Linked DNA regions of Drosophila melanogaster. The gene in region 1 interacts genetically with each later gene. Each region holds a gene or a part of one and is shown in the gene's direction. Other genes may lie near its edges.

Evidence for each region.
Region 2: of Apc (region 1) and ewg, changing one suppresses a phenotype caused by changing the other (phenotypic suppression), as found in Drosophila melanogaster (2 studies listed by BioGRID).

Annotation. Positions count from the first base shown.
Region 1 is NT_033777.3:28,841,719-28,846,711, reverse strand, and holds the start of Apc (APC-like), read left to right. Parts: upstream 1-1,963; 5' UTR 1,964-2,152; intron 2,153-4,428; exon of another isoform or gene 4,429-4,493; intron 4,494-4,993. Other genes in the region: spg (sponge), read right to left, coding at 712-745.
Region 2 is NC_004354.4:276,592-281,355, reverse strand, and holds the start of ewg (erect wing), read left to right. Parts: upstream 1-1,721; 5' UTR 1,722-2,171; intron 2,172-4,764. UniProt on the Drosophila melanogaster protein: May function as a positive regulator of transcription in developing and differentiated neurons, regulating common aspects of neuronal differentiation and maintenance. Requirement in the CNS may be higher than in the peripheral system.

The DNA of each region.
Region 1 (4,993 bases):
GAGAAAAATAAAGTCCATAGCAAGCAAGTTTCGATTCTTGAGATCTTAAATAGTTTTTACCATGTGCACTGAAGCGTTTTTCTTTCCCATTTCTATATTCTATCTACCGAGTAGGTTTTATATTAGCATACTAGGAAATATAATTAAGATGTAGTTATTTTCAGATCAGAATCAGAGAAACGTTTCAAATCAAAATCAACCATATGAACTTGGACAAATATATATTTTGTCTGCGAAATAAACATTTTTTTAGGTGTTCGTAATTACGAAAGCATTTAAATTGGCAACACCTGGGCTGGGGGGAAATTGGCAACGCGACAGCCGAGCGCTGTGCGGGAAAACTGAGCGCGCGGAAAACTGTGTGTATAAACACATCAAATCGCAGCGCAGCGGCAGCAACAACAAACAGGGAAATCTCTTTGAGATACACTACACGCTGCATGGAAAGGGGGGGGGGGCGGTGCGGTGAACTGGGGGATGATGATGCTACAAACAGTTTGTGTACAAAAATAAGTAGAAAAGTCGCTTTTCCTCCCCGCTCGGTAACGTGCGGGGGTGGTTGGCATGGTATCCGGCGTTTCGCGGAAAAACGCGTGAATCGCCGCAAAAGGCAGCAATAAAAACAAAGGCCGCGCACGTGACGCCCAGCGGGGGGTGGTGGGTAGCTTGGAAAAGTGGGTGGCACACCGCCTACTCTTATTATTTACTCACCAACTCCGTATTTGTTGTTCGAAGGTATCCACATTTTGTCGCTGCTGCTTCGCTGCAAGTTAAGCCGAAAAAATCCAACTTAGCCGGCCACTCCTTGCATTTATAATTAATCAACGGTTTTTTGAGGAAACACCCTTTTCATCGGCAAATATCTGCATTTGAATTCGCATTTATAACGGCCAATATTTATCAACAATTTTTCGCAATAGCACACATACACACTCGTACACATCTACGCACTCAATAAAACTTTCGCTTTTGTTGTTGTCTATCTCCTTCTCTTTCTCGCACTTTATCTTGTTTAATAACTACAACTACAAGCAGAAAATACACTTGCTACATTGTTGTTGTCGCTGGAAGGCAACGATCGCGGTTCCAATTGGCAATGATTACCGCTAGGTGGAAGAAAAGGAAGTGGCTGATTGGGAAGTCTGGAAGTGGTGGCTTTGCTTTTGTTGCCTTTTTCACGGACCCGCGCACACACAAACAAGAAAATCAATACGAATTTGGGACTCCCAGCCGAACTTCCAATTGGATTTCTACACTGTGCGCAATTTAAATTGCTTGTCCCTTGGCTTCGCGAATTATTACCGTTGTTTTCTGCTGCACTTGCAACGCGTTTAATTTTCGCTATTTTTTGCGTTTTATTATTTTTCGCGTTCTCCGCTGCGCAGCTTCCCGGGCGCAGCAACAACAAATATCCGTCCGCCGCTCAGCTGTTTGAAGAACAACAACAAAATTCGGGATTCGTCGGCTTATATACGTTGCAGTGTGGCCAGTTGCTAAGCGATGGATTATTTACTATTGCATTTTTGAGGGAATTTTCATTTTAGCGGTGACGGTCACACCGGTATTTATGGTCTAGCTAAGACCCGAACCAATTCGCAGTTACAGTTTTGGAGGCACATTCATTCAATGTATTCAATAATTTAACAAACAAAACAATACCAAATCCGTTTTAATATGCAGTCCATAGCGTTGGTCTGACTCGGCCCCATTAACTCTATCCCATTTTTTTTTAAATTTTTTCTTTTAAATTAACGGTGTACGTATTACTTAACCGAGATATATAATGAATAAAATATAAGCACTAAATCTTTAAGGTTAGAAAATAAATTGCAGTATAAATATATTACGAACGAAGTAAATATTCAAGCGATATATATGATCCCAAGATATCGCTACATTCTCCCATCCCTAGCAGCTATTTCTTGTTGGTTTTTCGAATTCTCGATATAACAGTCACACTGCTCGCCGCGGTTGGTCGCAATTTTTGTTGATAAGCGGACTCGGAATTTCGGCCGCGCTGCGTATTTGTTTTGTCGCGAAACAAGCCAAGAATCCAAATAGTGGCAATATCTGTGGGCAAACAAGTGATAAAGCGGGAAATGTGTCATCTGGTGGGCGAGGAAGCTGCCGAGAAATTGTGTTTTTAGTCAAGGTACGCCAATCGGAGAATCTCTGGGTTCGTGTGTGTGTGGGAGTATAGTCGCTGACTCTTCCAATTGGAATTGTTCTTTTTGGGCCTGACAATAAAACGCAGAATGTTTACTCAATAAATGCGCACCATATACAGCTGGCGAATACAAATGTGTTTAGCTCAACTTGGAGCATGAGATACTCTTTAGTAGTTTCCTGTTCTCCTGCCGATTCCTTTTACAGGAAAAATCAATAAAGGTCCCAATCAGAACGCGACTGCGCCCTAGTGTGGGTGTGCAAAGTGCGTGCATGTGTGTGTCTATGTGTGTGAGTGCTCCTTTATCAGTTGGAAAACGCAGTGTGTTTCGTTTGTTTCGTTGTTGTTGTTTTCGTTTTAGTTTTCCAACAGCTGCAAGTGATTGTGGCACGCCTAATTGATAACTATTTTCGAGCACTTCCATTCAACTTCACCTCAGCATAATTAATCACCGCATTAAGGAAAATACGTTAATATCGGCACGCTCGATTGTCTTACATGCCCACAAACATGGGAGAAAAGGAAAACACAATTCCACACTGCATGCGCTCGTATTTAGTTTCCCTTTTACTTTTCTACAATTTACATAATCATCATCTCGCGGCGGCAAAGACACAAAACAACCGGGCAGCAAAACAAAAGTGGCGTTCATTAAACCAGCTCATAAATGCACACACAGAAATCATAAGTACATACATATGTACATATGTACAGTAGTTAGTATGTAGTTTCATTATTTAATGTTTTTGCGTACATTTCCCTGTGGTTTGATGGCTCGCGGTGTCATCATCTTTACCGCTTTTCCTTCCCCCGCAAATCTTCCATTCTTTTTTCTTTGATAATTCTGCCGCGAATATTTCGTATGCAAAATGTGTGCCAAGCCAAAAAACCGCACAGTGGGTGGGATGGGGCGATGTGGTGGCAAAATTGGTTATTAGCTTAATGGGAATTCACTTATTGGAGAAATATTTTTTATTTTTGCTATTCCCTTCTAATTGTAATTGTAATTGTACCATTTTTAGGGGAGGGTGTGACGAAAACCACCCTTCAGATCATCAATCTGCCAAAAAAAATATTTCCCTCTTTCAAATATTTCAACCTAGTATTCATTTTATCACAACAAATTACACTTTCCAAATTAGGTATTCATATGTCGGTTTAAAATAACTTTTAAGACCTTACCCTCTATAAGGTGATGAAGCTTTATCTTTCAAAATCCAAATCTGATCCACCCATGCTACACAAATGCTTAATTTATATGCATATTACCAAAAATGGAATTGTTCATTCTCATAATTCATTTAATTATGCAAATATTTGGATATACAATTATCAAATAAACACTTTTATTTATTCTTTTACACCTATCAGTTTAAGTAAGTGCTTAGTAAGTCTTACTAAGCAAGTGTTATTCAAGCAATAAGTCACATTTGTTTTTGAAATCTCGTTATCTCTGAAAGAAATAGAAACTGGGTGACTAAAAGTTTGTCAGTCTGATTCACTTTCTATCCGCTAAACTATGGCACTTGTATTTTATTTCAAAGCGTGGGGTTGTTTCTGTTTTCGCTAACTATGCGAACCAATTTAGTTTCCCAATACAGTTGACTCGAAACGCTTGGAGTCGAATTGTGTCCATTGTGCAGGGCTGATTCCCTTGTGCGACTCGCTGGCCGGTTAATGACACGAGGAGTCGTCTCTGGGGGACCGGGTACACGGCTCTTGGCTAGACAAGTGACGCATATTCTCGCATTCTTTGGGGTACTAAAAGTATCTATGTCGTATCTAGATACTTGTGTTTGTCTAATTCGCGGATCGTTGATTCATCGAATCGCTCTACTCTGCTCTGTTCGTCTTTCGAATTCTTGGCCTCGAGAGCACTGATATCGTGACTCTTGCTAAATGTTAATCGGTGGAGCCGAACTGTGTGCCTTATCAAGGCGGTGATAGTGCCGGCTGATCACATATTTTATATATTTGAGGCCTAGGCAAACAATCGATCGGCAATGATGAACGATGGCCACTGTGTCCAGTGCGGCATTCCAATCGAGTGGCTTGGATGGATGGATGCATTTCCGCTGTTACACAAGCGATTTGCATTTCACAGCCACTCAAATTGCGGTTACCACTTTTCGTTCGCCGGCTGTTTTCGCTCTTTACGCTGGTCGCAATTAAAATTTGATTAATTTGCCAATTGGAGCTTGAACAAGTCGACTTGTGCGGAGCCAGAACTGGTACACGACCCGGGTCATTCCCAATCCCAAACTCAATCCACTTGAAGTCTTGAATTGGATTGGGTACACAGTGAAAAAATGCTTGAAAATACAAGGTATCAAATCATTTGTTATATTCCTTTTCATTCGATATCTAAAATTATGCAGTAAATAAATTGTGCCATACTTTAAGACACTTTGTAGATTGATTTAAGAACCCCAAGGATTTATTTGACCCTTGATTAAAGTTGTGTAAATAACTTAATAGTGACCTTACGTTAGTTACGTTATTTTCTCTCTGTGTACATACATATTTATGCACTTCTGTCCGTCCACGCTCAATTTTACGCTACAATAACAGCTGAAAAAAAAGAAGTGCAGCACCAAATTGCATTTGCACATAATTCAACGGTAGCTCAAATGAGAAATATGTCTTGTGCTTATGGAGTGTGTGTAGCAACAACAATGAGAGCCGAGGCAATATAATATATCTGCTGAAAACGCATCTGTATCTTTCTTCATGCACTGGAAATTCCGCAAAGACGACGCCGTGTGCCGCTAACTTTCTAAAAAGATGCAGCGCCAGCTAATCATGATAATGACTTAGCTGCTCATT
Region 2 (4,764 bases), on another chromosome or scaffold:
TTTGACCCAATTCAGTTTTAAGTTGCCAAGCTGGATTAAATACTGAATTCAAGATCACTGCCAGTTTCGATTATGCAGAACCGATAAGGCCAGTTCGTGTAGAATTCCGGAAGAATTGCCGATAAGGAATAAGTAGGGCCAAGTTTCAGATAAATCCAAAGCCACTATGGGGAATTTGATTCGTTTTTTGGCATAAATGTGTTTTTAAAAATGTTTCAATTGTTGAACACTTTTTTCTTAACGGATTAAGATCAAGGCTTAAGTTATGTAACGCAAATGTAAATTAATCAATGTTAAAAACCACGTGCCATCGATGACCTTCTTTTTTAGTGCTTACGAAAATTAATTGAGTTTCAAAAAATTTTTGATATGTGTGTTAGTCAATGTTTTAGAGTGATTAATTACCTACTTAGAACACATACGGTTAACGCGACTTTTGCGAATGCTACTTATTGTGACTTTTCGCGAAGATTACATTTTTAGGTAGCAATCAGCAATGCGGCCCTGATAGAAGTGTACGAAATGCGACTCTGAAAGATTTTTTTATCAATAAAAATGTTAAGAGACTTAAGTTTGTACCGATTGTGGACAATCTAAAACATGGTGTAACTCCAATACATTGGTGGATTAGATAGAATATATTGATTTAAAAAAAAAATTTTATGGGAGTGGGCGGGGCACCCACTTTGCCAAAATAATTCTAAATTCATCGTATCTTAAATAGTTTACGAGATATTAATTTATGCCAATAAAACATGTTAAATTCCCCATAGTGCAAGCGCACTACCAGCCTCATTTCACAGCGATAAGCAACTTGTGGTTTCTTTTTATATAATATGAATTCTTTGGTTTTTACATACGGGCAATCTGTGTTAAAAAAAAACAATTCCTTTTATCACTATATACATCCTAATAATGAATTTTATTGTGTGAGTGCCGACGACGGACATAAAAACCCAACATTTTTGGTGGCAAGCAGTTAGTCGTCTTCGGTCGTTCTAGTTTACCAATCCTTCAGGATTTCATATCCCTAAACTATTTTTTTGTTTTTTATTTTTTGTTAAATTTCCCGCGTGTGAAATACGAAGTTGATTGTATGTCAGTTTTTCATTTGGCCTGGCTAGCTTACTCCTTTTTAAATATTGCTAGCTGCCTTGTGAAGGGCTTACGTGTAATTGCAGTTCGACTCCCGAATAATAAATTTTTCGACTGTTTAAAATTTACCATTATTTTGGGGTATCCTAAAAGTTTTGTTACATTAATAACTACATCTGATTAATTCGTGGATCAAATGTTGTATATTCTTTGTAGCGTTCATAATATAAACCTTTAAAAAAAGCTACTAATAAACTGTCTCTTATCAGATACGGAGATGGTGGAGTGCTAGAGAGAAATTTAAAAACTCTTCTAAAAAATAACAAACTAAATAAATATGAAACTATTATAAATATGTGAGTGTAATAGAGGACGTGGCAAGCCCAGGGAACAAATTTTCCCTGCATAGAAAGACTAAAATCTTTTTGGCACCAGAAAACTTAAATTTCTTATATCAAAAATTATTATTATATTATTATATTTATGGATTATTATATGCTTACTCAAAAATATACAATCAATTTTTCAACTAATATAAGTCCGCTAGGGGGACTTGAATTTAAACTTAAATAGCACAATTAGTGGGACCGCCAATCCTCGTTTCTCCTATGCATTTTAGAGTGACCGCTTTCCTTCGACTGCGATATGTATTGCGTGTACATTATCGACGTCTGAAAAAATCACGCGTGCTGTATATCGATATTTGTCATGTACTAAATACCATTCCTCGGCTAAATTAAATCGCAAAATTGCGTCGAAACTTGGGGAAAAGTGCTGGGACAGGCAGCTGAAAACTAAGCTAACGGAAAAGCATCGTGAGGGAAAACAGCGAAACTTTGCGAGCGGGAAATTTTGGAGCTACAACCTAGAAACGGCAGTGCGCAAATGTAAAATGCACGGAATATTCGCATGTGCAGTGTGATAATAAATAAACGCCAAAGAAAATTTTCGGCGCAGGGGCAAACACACCAATGCACAATAGCGGCGGCGCGTTCGTGTGCGTGCGCCTTTTTTTTCTTTGTGAGTGTGTATGTGTGTTATCATAAAGGAGCTGGAAAAACAACAAAAATACACAGGTGCGTATGTGGGTGTAAACTAGTGGTAGGGGTCAACAAATTTTCCGATTTTCCACTGTGACAGTCTATAATTTATATGTGTATATAGAGATTTGTAGTGGCATAAGTGAATGCCCAAAAGTTTCGGAGTTTCTGAGCTAACGGTTCTTGCTGGCTTGTGTGTGTGTATTAGGTTATCATATATGTGTGCTGGTGTATTTAGCTTGTGTTACCGTTACATCGGCGCCGTAAATGAAAATCCAACTGCGAGTGTCCGTAACTTAACCATGCGCCTCAGCTAAAAGTTAAAACAAAGACAGGAAACTCCGATAGGAAGGATGATGTGTAAAGTAGGGTTGTAGAATAGAAACGCCAAACAGGTATCACTTCCAATTGTGTGCACGACAGCACACGCATTTCCCATTTGCATTGGAAGGTATGCGTGTTTTTGATGCATCTGTGTCTGTGTGATTCTGACGTTTTTGGGGTTGCGAAAAACACCCAAACCACCCCCTAGAGACGAAAAATTTGTAGATACACACATGGATAAACAGAGCGGGATGGCTAGCTCACAGCAACCTTCATTGGGTTTTTCCAGTTCCAATAGTGAAGGACGCCACTGTTATAGGTTGTATTGGGGTGGGCTATAAAAGTACAGTTCCAATTGGAACAGGGCAACGGCCAGCCTACAATTACAGATTATATTTGTTACATCTTTTAAATCTAAGGAATAAGAGTATTTTATTTATTTTATGGCCGATTTAAACACATGCCTAACAAAAATAGTTTCTACTCGAGATGAGTTTAAGATAGTCAAGAACATTTAATAGCTCAAACAAATATAAAAATTTAGACATAACAAGAAGATTACATTTTTGCTGGTATTTTCCTGTTTCCCCGACTATAAACTCCTACGAACTCTTACTGTTGGTTGTATATGTACATACATATGTATATTTCTGTCACTGCATTGCTATGAACAGTGGTGGTCTTTGCGCCGACTCCACTGCCGCGACAACCTTCGCATGCGTAACTTGCCTCTCGTTTGTATTTTCGCTGTTATCATTTCATTTTTGTAGAGCTGTGCTGTCCAGCACAGAAAAAAGAGTATGGTGGGAAATTAAGAGAGGGAGAGAGAGAAACAGCAGTACCAAGAAAATTCGATTGTGGGAAAGGGAAAGTAAAAAAACACGGTGGGGTCAATTCTTTGCAGAACATAACAAATTGTCTTATCATAATTTGGTAATTATTGCGGCTGTTAGTCTTGCATGCTTAAAATTATAAAAAAGTGTCTTAAGGTATTTTTAATTTTCCTATATATGTATAGATAGAATAAACGATACTTCGATGTAAACGGCAGTAACTTTTTGGAGTTTACGGAAGCTGGGGTTAAAGAATTTAAATATTCAAAAATAATGAAATATTCACGAATACTAAAAATTGCCTTAAGAATACATATAAAACGCGAAAGCACACATACGCTTACATTAAATAGTAAATTGAGAAAACACCGAATAAGAAGAATTTATGATCGGATACAACAAGAGTATAATTTCTTTTCTAATATTTTGATCAAATTGAAACCGAAATTATGATGTCAAAAACGGCTTTTACGAGTATACGCTTTGTGCGAAATATAAAAACAAACTAGGATTCTTTTTCCTCAATTTCCCTGTGACTTTTCGACTTCTCGATGCAATTACAACCGAAATATATTGAAGTGTATATATGTATATATATATATATATACTTATGTATATATATGTACAGATGTTAAAACAACGATGCTACACTTTTTTAAATTATTTTTTTTTTTATTATTCCGTACCGAATAATATACCATGTGCAAGACAAAGAATACTCTTGGAAAAGGTGCAAGCATATAACATTAAAACTAAGAGAATAATTTTCGTAGACACGTATAGACGGACGTGGCTTTGTCGCCTGTGGTGTTGACACTGATCAAGAATAGTATACATCGCAAATGCCTTCTTTACAGTGTTGCTAACTTCCGACACAAAGTTTAGTTGCGCTTACTGCAACCTGTGGGCATCACTGTGTAGGCCTTAAATCTTAAAGGACTCTAAAATGGCCTACTTCTATAATTAGAAAGAAAACCTGAAGACTACATCCAACAAACGCAGAGCTTTTTAATTTGGCAATACTTTAGGTTCCTTCACACAATTTCATCACCCACCTTTTTCAGAATCCGGATAAGAATGTATATATGTATGTGTCTTAGGGGGTGAACATATACTCTCTCTACTCTTTTCCCCTTTCTCTCATCATCAGATGCCTATTTTGATTACAATCAAGGTTTAGAAGTGTGCTCACTTTTGCTGGGCCACTTTTCTCGATATATGTGTGGCACGCGCAAGTGGGTCGTGCTCACATCCCCTATAAGGACGTGGGAGTTGGTGGTGTTCCCACTGCATTGTTTCGCGGGGGTGATTGGGTAGTTCGAGTAGTGCATGCGTGGTAGTTTAAAAAAGATCCAAGGAAAATAAATAAAAACACTGCATAAGATAGTTTCATCGTGAGGTGCACCTCGAGCTGGGCGAGTTTGCGTGTGTATTCAGTGCGGTGAAAGGTGTGGGATTTAAGGGGTTGGTTT